Linked DNA regions of Arabidopsis thaliana. The protein of the gene in region 3 binds, or shares a complex with, the protein of the main gene of each other region. Each region holds a gene or a part of one and is shown on either strand. Other genes may lie near its edges. The genes, in order: MSI1, SWN and VIN3.

Region 1 (3,754 bases), 310 kb from region 3:
TAAAACACACAACAGTTTTAGAGGCTTGTTTTGTGATCGACCATTTTGTACAAAGGTATAGAATCTCCCAAGATGTTTAACATGGTAATCTATACTATCGTTGTCCTACTCACAATGAGTCTAGATCAAAGCTCGTATTTTCGCTAATTCATTGTTTGTTCTACAGAACTACAAATCCAAATAAATACTCGAATAGACATTATTTCATAGCAATTTTTATACATGTCGAATAAAGACTTCATTTCATAGCAATTTTGATACATGTTCCCGTAGTGGTACAACCAAAACAAAATGTGTTGGAAAGTTGGTGCCGCAGACAGCAGTAGCATAGCTCTAGCTCCCACGGTATGTGGAGAAAGAAAAAGGTGCAAGCAACAGTGGGACATGGAAATGCTCCCATTTCTGTGATTCTGTAACCTGAAATACAATGGAAACATAGGGAAAGAAGCAGCCTGGGGAATACTTTGCAGTGTCGAAGCTAATCCTATATGTCCCTGGATTCAAAGCGTCAACCAAATCCATCAGTGGCCCACTGCGCCCATCTCTATCAGTAGCTGATGTGCCCACACTGGACCAGACCCCACCACCTCCATGAACAAAGGAAGGACCGGTAGTACCACTCCACACTTCTAAGTGCACTTCAACACCTGCAGCTGGAGCACCACGTGAGACGTCTAAGACATGAGTCGTGATCGGTGGCCTACTTCTCTTGGGAGCTTTTGCTTCAGCTGCAACATTCAAATGCCCTCCAATGATTCTCAGACGATCTTACAAAGCGAGAAAGTAGAAAAGGTCACACAGATAACAAAGATAGCCATAAGGGTAAATCCTTGTATTCCAAAAGACACATACTTGATATCATACTGAATCCTAACAGGTTCAAACCCACACAGTCAAACACAAAACTTTGACAAGGAAAAGATTTGGTAAATCATCAATATACCTTGAGGTTTTGTTGAAACAGGAGAGCTAGAGCTGTCAGTTTCTGATATAACTTTAGCCTTATCGGAGAACAGCTTTGCCATTCGTAGCTCTGTTATTTTCATTTGTTCCATAGCAGCAATCTCAAGCTCCACTATTGGCCTATTTTCATACCTTTCCTGAAAAAGAGACGATTTGATGAATATGTAACTTTCTCATTCACTCACACTCAACAAAAACTGATTTGGAAATGCAAAAGTTGACCTTTAACGCATGGAGCATCTCAGCGTGAGTCCTGCCAGAAGCGCAAATAATGAAGATAAAGCCAAACTTCTTTTTGTAAAGTACATTCCATTCGGCAAGCTCCTAAGAAATTGAAAACAATTGATCATCAGAAGAAGAAATCACTGAAGAGATGAAGGAAAAAAAAAGTGAAGATCCATCACCTGTAAAGCAGAAGCAGAAGTTGTGGCAAAGGCGGTTGACTGTTCTGATACGCTCCGACGAGCAAAATCGGAGTTGATAGAAGGTGAAGGAGTATTCCCAATCTGAGGATGAGCAGAGAAAGCTTCAAGCCAATCTGTCACATTAACTTGGTTGAACCAGATGTCTCTTGCAGTATATATTGCTTCTTGAGAAGTTAACGGTCCAGACGTAGACATCTGCTTCGCGAATTCGGAGCTTCCACAGCAAACCTTCCATTCATCTTCTCCGATCTCCATCGCCATTTTTTCTCTCTTTTCTCCAATCCTCACTTCTGTTGACTGGTGTAAGATCAAAAGTCATCTAATTGGGCCTTTTCATAAACGGGCTTTTCAAAAATGGGCCTTTTCTTTATCTTCTTCCTTTTTTTATTCATCATCTTCTATATGTGAATTATTCAGAAACAGAAGCGAGAAGTTTCTTACAATTTGTAAAGAGATCTGTTTTAGGGTTTTGCCTTGTTCTTGTGGCGGGAATAACAAAGACATCGCCGATATGGGGAAAGACGAAGAGGAAATGCGAGGTGAGATCGAGGAGCGACTAATCAATGAAGAGTACAAGATCTGGAAGAAGAACACTCCTTTCCTCTACGATCTCGTTATTACTCACGCTCTCGAGTGGCCTTCACTTACTGTTGAATGGCTTCCTGACCGTGAAGAACCTTCCGGTAAAGACTACTCCGTTCAGAAGATGATTCTCGGTACCCATACCTCCGAGAGCGAGCCCAATTACTTGATGCTAGCCCAAGTTCAGCTTCCTCTTGACGATACCGAGAGTGAAGCTCGTCAGTACGATGATGACCGCTCTGAATTTGGTGGCTTTGGCTGTGCAACTGGAAAGGTGCGATTTTTTATTTTTGTTTCTCATTTCCAACTTTCTAGATTTGATTCTAGGGTTATAACGAGGTAAAGGATGATAAATGTTAGTTTGATTGCTTGTGTAGGTACAAATTATCCAGCAGATAAATCATGATGGTGAGGTTAATCGAGCTCGCTATATGCCTCAAAACCCTTTCATAATTGCTACCAAGACAGTTAATGCGGAGGTCTATGTTTTCGATTACAGTAAGCATCCATCTAAGCCTCCTCTTGATGGGGCTTGTAATCCTGATTTAAAGCTTAGAGGTCACAGCTCTGAGGGATATGGTCTCTCTTGGAGTAAGTTCAAGCAGGGTCATTTGCTTAGTGGCTCTGATGATGCTCAGATCTGCTTGTGGGATATTAACGCTACTCCTAAAAACAAATCTCTGGACGCTCAGCAGATTTTTAAGGTAATGCTTTGGATTTCTATTCGTTTTTAGTTTTGTTTTGTATCATCTAGAAAGGAAGGAATTGCACCCACTTAACGGAATCAGTTACACTTATGAAAGCTCATAGATAGATATTCAGGTTGGTTTCTGTGTTTTCCTTGCTGATGATTATTTTCTGAACTTAAGGCTCATGAAGGGGTTGTGGAAGATGTTGCATGGCATCTGAGACATGAGTACCTGTTTGGATCAGTTGGAGATGACCAATACCTTCTCATATGGGATCTGCGTTCTCCATCTGCCAGTAAACCAGTACAGTCTGTGGTTGCTCATTCGATGGAGGTGAGTTTGCAATATATTAGCTTTAGATACAGATAATACTTCTGGTTTTTAAGCTTGCTTTCCTTAACACTAAAAACCATTGAATCATATTGCCTCGTATGTATTTGCTAATTGTTGAGTTGTTTGAAATGCCTTAGGTTAACTGCTTAGCCTTCAATCCATTTAATGAGTGGGTTGTGGCAACAGGATCAACTGACAAGACTGTTAAATTATTCGATCTACGGAAGCTAAGCACCGCTCTTCACACATTTGATAGCCACAAGTAAGAATGATACGCCATAAATATTGCCGCTTTGAGATGGATTTTGTGTTACTAAGAAGTATTTACAAGTTACAGCAACATCACTAACCTTAATTATGTGCTTGATCTCCAGAGAGGAGGTTTTTCAAGTTGGTTGGAACCCAAAGAACGAGACTATTTTAGCTTCATGTTGCCTTGGTAGAAGACTTATGGTTTGGGACCTTAGCAGGTTTGGGCCGTAGACTTTAGTTCTTTAGTTTAATGTTCATGTATGGTCATGGAGGAGCAATATTGATATGTTTGAGGGTGTCTTATGATAGGATCGATGAGGAACAGACAGTGGAGGACGCAGAAGACGGCCCACCTGAGCTGCTGTTTATTCACGGTGGTCACACTAGCAAAATTTCAGATTTCTCGTGGAACCCTTGTGAAGATTGGGTTATTTCCAGTGTTGCTGAGGACAACATACTCCAAATATGGCAAATGGCTGAAAACATCTATCATGATGAGGATGACGCTCC
Region 2 (3,754 bases), on a different chromosome or scaffold from region 3:
GCACAATCGCTGCAGCTTGTGTTGCACCTGAAGCTAGCCAGAGACCAACGATGGGCGAAGTGGTTCAGTCACTTAAAATGGTTCAACGGGTGGTTGAGTATCAAGACCCGGTTTTAAACACTTCAAATAAAGCTCGTCCTAACCGGAGACAATCATCAGCTACGTTCGAGTCAGAAGTAACCTCTTCTATGTTCTCTTCTGGTCCTTATTCTGGTCTAAGCGCTTTTGATCATGAAAATATTACACGAACAACTGTTTTCTCAGAAGATCTTCACGAAGGCCGATGATAGAAGCCAGGGTTTTCTTCTTTTTATTTGTTTTTCTCCCACTTACGGTGAGAAAATTTCCACCAGAGAAGCTTTTGAGTTTGGGACATTATTACAGCTCTTTGGATTTTGGATTCTCCTTTATTGGAGGATAGAATTTTGTATATATTTTTGCGTTAATTAATTAATATTTGCCACAACCATCAGATATACAAATAGAATTTGAATATACTTTTTCCAATATAAAAAAACTATGTACAGGTGATTAGTTTGTACTGTTAATTTTTAAAGGCTTTTTACAGTAAAAGTTTTTACAGCTAAAAGTAACAGTATAATACTTTTTTTTTATGGAATAATCTAAATAAAATATAATCTGTTGAAAAACTAATATTTTAAATATAATTTTTATGGTATCAAACCAATATTTAAAGTAATTCCTTTCTTATTAGTTAAAATCACAGTTTTTATTATTATTATTTTTGATAGTGGTTATGTTCAGGAAAGGACTGTCATACATTCAGGATGGATTTACAGAGATTGCAATGGATGTTTCCTTAGTTCAGGGCGTGCTCAACTTCAATCGTCACAATTATCTCTTCAAGCAGAGGCTCTCGGATTTCTTCATGCCCTTCAAGTGACTTGGTCCCGAGGACTACATTATGTACTTATGTGTGGTTTGAGAGCGATAATGCAGAGCTAGTAAATCTGATCAATACGCAGAGTGATCATAATAAGATCATCACTCTTCTTTATGATATTCGTTATTGGATGGTGAAGCTTCCGTTCTCTTCCTTAGCACATGTTAATTGGGAAAGAAATGCAGCTGCGGACATCTTATCTAAAAAGGCTCAGTTAATTAATTCTCTGTACCACCATTATGGTTAGAAAGATATTTGTATCTCCCTTTACAAGTTTATAAGAAGCATACATATGTTAAAAAAAAAAAATCTTTACAGTTTAAATCTTTACGCTCAGAGATTTTTACTTTACAGCTAATATTCTTAGCCTCAATGGCTAGTATTGTTAACGTCAAAGTTTCTAAAGCCACACAAATCATAGTAGTTACCTTTAAGATAAAATACAATTATAATCACAAATATCTTAATATTTTTACGTTCAGAGTTTATTACTTTACAACTAATACTTATCTCAAACGTAACTGCTATAACCTGTGTGGCTCTAGAGACTTTGACGTTAATAATATTAGCCATTATTAGCCTCAACGGCTCCAGAGCCAGGCATGTCGTAATAGTTATCTTTAAGATAACATACAATTATAATCACAAATAGAAAATAATTGTCGCAAAACCACTAATTAAATTACACACGTATAAGCACTATTCATTCACACGTGTGGCGTTCTTTGTATGTAATGTAACCCCCCTTCCAGTCCACACTCCGTTCGTCCTTCTCACAAGTCTGATTGCGGAAAAAGCAGAGAGAGAGAGAAAGTTCGAGCGGAAGAGAAGCGGAAAGCTCGAGGAGTCATCAATGGTGACGGACGATAGCAACTCCTCTGGACGAATCGTACTCAGATTTACCTTTCAATCTCCTCTTTTTTTTTTTTTTTTGATTTATTATCTGATTTTGCTCGTATGCGCATGATCATTCGCGTTTTTTCAGCTGATTGTTCGTGAAATCCGTTTGAGTTCATCAAATTATAATCGCTCTCTTACTTTTGTTCACTGTTGGAGTTGATGGACCTTATAGAATTAGTGTTTTTCCTCGTTGCTTTTGTTTTTTACACGATTTTTGTTTTGATTTGGGCTTCTGAATAGAAGTCTCATGTAGATGATGATGATGATGGTGAAGAAGAAGAAGATAGACTCGAGGGTTTGGAAAACAGATTAAGTGAGCTTAAAAGGAAAATTCAAGGAGAAAGAGTTAGGTCTATTAAAGTAAGAGAGTTTCTATACTTGATGTTCTTTACTAATTATACTAATGTCTAAAAAATTTGAAATCATTTATCCGTTTTTGATTGTTTTCCTGGGAATGTAGGAGAAATTTGAGGCTAATAGAAAGAAAGTGGATGCTCATGTTTCTCCCTTTTCATCTGCTGCATCGAGCCGAGCTACCGCAGAGGATAATGGAAATAGCAATATGCTTTCTTCGAGAATGAGAATGCCACTCTGCAAGTTAAATGGTTTTTCTCATGGTGTGGGAGATAGAGACTATGTTCCTACTAAGGATGTTATATCAGCAAGTGTCAAGCTTCCTATTGCTGAGAGAATACCGCCATACACTACCTGGATATTTTTGGACAGGCATGCACCTTTTCTAGTTCTCATTTTTGCGTTGGTAGCATGCTATTCTAAATTCAGTTGAACAATAGACTAGAACATCAAATTCAGTTTTCATATTATGTGTTGTTTTTCTTTTCTGAAAAAATATCTTAACCATGCAGAAATCAAAGAATGGCTGAAGATCAGTCTGTGGTTGGTCGAAGACAAATCTACTATGAACAACATGGTGGTGAGACGCTAATATGCAGCGATAGTGAGGAAGAACCAGAACCTGAGGAGGAAAAACGTGAATTTTCCGAGGGTGAAGATTCCATTATATGGTTAGTTTTGCAGAGAGTGTAAATTATGGACTCTCATGTACTCTGATGGGGAAAAATTGTGATACTGGTATTTGAAGAAGTACCTGGGTGGAATTTATTAACCAATGAATCACATTTGTTGATGCTAAAAAAAGATGTCATATTTCGTATTCATATCAAATTTCATTCTGTAAGACTCTTCATTAGCATTAGGTTTGAAATATATCTCACTATATATGAATTTCTTCATACCTCGTTTGACTTGAATTGGCAGGTTAATTGGGCAGGAGTATGGCATGGGTGAGGAAGTGCAGGATGCCCTTTGCCAGTTGCTAAGCGTAGATGCTTCTGATATCCTGGTGCAGTTTTTAGTCATCTTGTTCTTGTGGTTTATCTAATGATGTTTTTCTGGTCTTCCTATTCTTCTTCACTAATGATGTTTGGCTTTCCTGTCTGCTGCAGGAAAGATACAATGAGCTCAAGTTGAAGGATAAGCAGAATACCGAGGAATTTTCTAATTCCGGATTCAAGCTGGGAATATCTCTGGAAAAGGGCCTTGGTGCAGCTCTAGATTCTTTTGATAATCTTTTCTGCCGCCGTTGCTTGGTACTTGGATTGTTCTTTGTGACAGAGAGAGCATGTATTATTAAGTGTTTGTTAATCATGTTAATCCTTCTTTGGTTATTTCTAACAGGTATTTGACTGTCGTCTGCATGGATGTTCTCAGCCTTTGATTAGTGCTGTAAGCTTGAATTTGTCTTTACTTTCTTTAGTTGTATTGCTAAAGTTTCAGTGGACAACATAACAAGAGAACTTTGGTTGACAGAGTGAAAAACAGCCTTATTGGTCTGATTATGAAGGTGATAGGAAACCCTGCAGCAAACATTGTTACCTCCAGGTCTATCTCTCTCTCTGTCTCTTTACATTCTCAGAGTGATTTGTATAT
Region 3 (3,754 bases):
TGTCTCTCTTATATTCTCCCTTTATTGTTCATTTCAATGGGCTAAATCGATAAACACAAATCTTCATATCTTGCCTTCGTTGAGTGTGTGTGTGTGTACGAGTATACTATTTTCTGCAGATTACTGAAATAATCAACGTGATAGAACGCCCGTTTCTTGATTTACACTAGCCCAATAATCAATCATCATAAATGTTCATCACATTTTTACGAGACCACACAAATTATTATCAAGATCGAATATACAATTAGTTGGTCATAAAACACTTTTGAAAAACCATAATTGCATCCATAATGTTTAGTAACTAACATTTAACCTTTTTCATGATTTCCTTTTCGTTCATGTTCTCTTCATGTCCAAGTGTTAGCACATTTCTCTCTTCCAATTGTTTTCAAATGCCACTGCAAGTGAACTTTCTCTAACTTATTTGCTCTAGCGCAGTTTATTTGTTTCTTATACCACGAAGGCCAACGATACAATATTAGAACCTTTCATTGAATATGTTATATATGTTACAAACTTCATATGGATTTTTACGTTTTTACCATGTAATAGCATTGTTCTTCTTCCTCATTTGATGATTTTTTGTTTTTATATCTAAACAATAAATTATGATCTAAACCCTAACTCCAAACACTCTAATTATTCAGTTGGAAAAACTTAGATCGAACATGTCAAAACTAAAAATATGCGGACTTTTAACTGGTTTAGCCCTACCTCCACCACCCCTTCTCACCCTGTCCCGTCTCTTTACATGATAATGCTCATTTTGCACATTTTAGTCAAATCCTCTTTTGATCCACAATACAACTTACTAACCTGAAATAACTTGGGTTAAGATATATCATGTGAATGTTTATGGAATTCTATTACAAAATTAAGTTACAATTATTGCATGTATCTTTGTCATAATCACTCGTTCATGAATTCTAACATAATTTTTAATCGAATGTGGATTCTTAATTTTCTTTTGGCAAAAAGTCACTCGTCCCAAAAGAATTAGTCGAAGAAATTCTTTACATGGGATGCTAATTCAAAAAAAAAACTTTTGGCAAATCGCTTTTTTTGGTATCTGGACCGACCGTCTTCATGGGCAAACTAAAATTGTTAATGGCTATATTAGTACTTGTCTAGTACAAGTTGTATTACTAAACTGTACTATTAAAGTATTTGTAGATGAACTAAATTTTAAAGATGAATTAAGTTTACTTGACTCCGTTTTCTCCACCCAAATTTGAATCCATTAAGCGTTATCCCCTCTAGTAAACTTTCACCTAAAAAATCCATTGACTATAGATCGAGTCTACTCGATTTAAAGATGTCCAAAAAACAAAAAAAGATGAACTAAAGTAATCAGTTATTTAAGAAAATCTTTTACATCAGTTGGTTTAGAAAACATAATTTAATCTAACGGAACTTCTCATTTTCATATGATAATCTATATATAGAATATTAACCTTCTTTTATTGTTAACGTTTTGTGGATTTTGAAAATTTGAACTAATACTAGATGTTTAACTTTGTTAATAAAATACTACTAATCATCACAAATTAACGTAGATGATGCAAAACAAAAATATGTGAAAGTTTTTAAGAGATCTGCATTTTGTAAACTTCACAAAAACTAAAAACCCTTGTCACAAAATCTAAACTCAGAATTCTGAAATTATAAACTAATAACTTTGTTGTTTAAGACTTACTCGAAGTTTGTACACGATAGTTCATACACCATATCAACATTATCATAATCTCTTCTCCCCTCTTCTTATAAAAGAAAAAATAATATTTTCAAAAAAAAAAAAAAAAAACTTGTATATAAACAAACTATTAAATTCAATAAAAAGATTTATAAAATTTATGATAGTAAATAAAAATGATTTTACATATCGTAATATTTCGAACATATAGTAGTGAGTCATAAGCGACATCCTAGAAAAGGTATATACAATAAGTCCAGCATTGGTTACAGGTCAAATCAAAGCATTTGCGTATATAATATCTTCCAAAGCACGTGAAGATATTTCCAACGTTTTTTTTAATATTAAAAAATACACAAAACCAAAATTCTAAAGAACTTTAAAAAAAAAAGCTCTCATCAGAGCAGAAGTTTCATCCATCAGAGGGTTTCCTCCTTAGAAACATCTAGAAAAAACAAAAGGAGAGAGAGAGAGAGAAGAACCATCCATCACAGAAACATCTTTTCCTTTTTCACTAAATCCCCATAAAAGATCTCTAAAATAAACCTAGCAAAAAAAAAAATCAAGAGAAAAAAAACGAAGAACACGAAGAACGACAAACAAAAAAAAAATGCAAGCTGCTTCGGTAAACAGCGTTTTTTTTTTATATAAATATTCTTTGTATGCTGTTTTTTTTTGAAGGCTTCTCATTCGGTGAACAACAACCAATTCTAATTTTGCATATATATTTACTCTCTGAGTATTTGTTTATTTTAATTAAAGAAAATTCTCAATGGTTTGTTCTTAAGACTGAGTCATCCTCGAATCTTTTGTCTAATAGTTACAAATATAGGTTCTTACAAAGTGTATTTCATGGGTTTCTCTTTGGTTGTTTAAAGATTATAACTTCAAAATGAAAATCGATAAAATCTGAATTTTTTTTTCGATCTTGTGTTCTTCATCATCGTAAGTGTTACATCTTTGAGAATTTTTTTTTTGTCTGTACTTAAGTGTTATTGTCAGATTGTTGTGATGGTTTATTTTTTTTGGTTCTTGCTTTAACTTTGACATAATTGAACCTTTTGTGTGAAATCGGATCTCGGCAGCTCTCAAAGATCTGGCGTTTCGATGGTAATGTGGGTCCAGAGAACATGGATTCTTCTTCGTTTGAAGGTACGATATTTTCTCGACGTGAACGTCTCTCTCACTGTTCCTAGTTTCATGCGTTTTAGGTCGTTAACACGACGACGTTTTTACACAATATCAACAAACGTTTTATTTCTCGCATTGGATTCGTCGTCATTGTTGATATTTCGTTTCTGGGTTGTTGAGATTCATTCAAAGTTTTATACTTTTGATCATTTTTACCCCAAAAAGAGTCAGAATCTGTGATCCTCTCCTTTTTATCTTGAGGAGAATCTAGGGCTAAAGGATTGGTCTTTTATGGTGCAGATAATGAATGCATTGAGACTTGTAAACCAAACGTTTTGAATGTAAGTGAAAGGAGAGAATTGATCCACGCATTGTCTAACCAGCCTGAAGAAGCTTCGGAGCTTTTGAATTCATGGAGCAGAAATGAGATCATGAAGATCATATGTGCTGAGATGGGTAAAGAAAGGAAGTACACTGGTCTTAACAAACCAAAGCTCATAGAGAATCTTCTGAATCTTGTGTCTCGTCCTCTTGGAGAGACCTCTTGTTCTGACCGTAGAAACTCGAGGAAGAAGGAGAAGAAGATGATCGGTTACATCATTTGCTGTGAGAATTTAGCTTGTAGAGCTGCGCTTGGATGCGATGATACGTTTTGCAGAAGGTGTTCTTGCTGCATCTGTCAAAAGTTTGATGATAATAAGGATCCTAGTTTATGGCTTACTTGTGATGCTTGTGGATCGTCTTGTCATTTGGAATGTGGTTTGAAGCAAGATAGGTATGGGATTGGGAGTGATGATCTTGATGGTAGGTTTTATTGCGCGTATTGCGGTAAAGATAATGACTTGCTCGGGTAAGGATCTTTAGATATTGAAATCTATGGATATACTACAATGAAAAGAGAATGTAATGTAATGTGTGTGTATGCGA

The links.
Region 1: VIN3 (region 3) and MSI1 share a complex: the UniProt entries of both Arabidopsis thaliana proteins name them as parts of the plant homeodomain / polycomb repressive complex.
Region 2: VIN3 (region 3) and SWN share a complex: the UniProt entries of both Arabidopsis thaliana proteins name them as parts of the plant homeodomain / polycomb repressive complex.

What each region holds. Positions count from the first base shown.
Region 1 is NC_003076.8:23,554,213-23,557,966, forward strand, and holds the start of MSI1 (Transducin/WD40 repeat-like superfamily protein), read left to right. Parts: upstream 1-1,799; 5' UTR 1,800-1,899; coding exon 1,900-2,244; intron 2,245-2,347; coding exon 2,348-2,674; intron 2,675-2,839; coding exon 2,840-2,992; intron 2,993-3,129; coding exon 3,130-3,254; intron 3,255-3,366; coding exon 3,367-3,462; intron 3,463-3,553; coding exon 3,554-3,754. Other genes in the region: TTL (transthyretin-like protein), read right to left, coding at 334-767, 944-1,100, 1,186-1,287, 1,368-1,649. UniProt on the Arabidopsis thaliana protein: Core histone-binding subunit that may target chromatin assembly factors, chromatin remodeling factors and histone deacetylases to their histone substrates in a manner that is regulated by nucleosomal DNA.
Region 2 is NC_003075.7:884,936-888,689, forward strand, and holds the start of SWN (SET domain-containing protein), read left to right. Parts: upstream 1-1,644; 5' UTR 1,645-1,757; coding exon 1,758-1,793; intron 1,794-2,044; coding exon 2,045-2,164; intron 2,165-2,264; coding exon 2,265-2,530; intron 2,531-2,670; coding exon 2,671-2,829; intron 2,830-3,082; coding exon 3,083-3,167; intron 3,168-3,270; coding exon 3,271-3,414; intron 3,415-3,502; coding exon 3,503-3,550; intron 3,551-3,634; coding exon 3,635-3,706; intron 3,707-3,754. Other genes in the region: AT4G02010 (Protein kinase superfamily protein), read left to right, coding at 1-287. UniProt on the Arabidopsis thaliana protein: Polycomb group (PcG) protein. Catalytic subunit of some PcG multiprotein complex, which methylates 'Lys-27' of histone H3, leading to transcriptional repression of the affected target genes, mainly abscisic acid (ABA) responsive elements.
Region 3 is NC_003076.8:23,247,842-23,251,595, reverse strand, and holds the start of VIN3 (Fibronectin type III domain-containing protein), read left to right. Parts: upstream 1-2,091; 5' UTR 2,092-2,306; coding exon 2,307-2,321; intron 2,322-2,730; exon of another isoform or gene 2,731-2,781; coding exon 2,782-2,848; intron 2,849-3,127; coding exon 3,128-3,677; intron 3,678-3,754. UniProt on the Arabidopsis thaliana protein: Plays a central role in vernalization by mediating the initial transcriptional repression of the homeotic gene FLC, a floral repressor, after a cold treatment.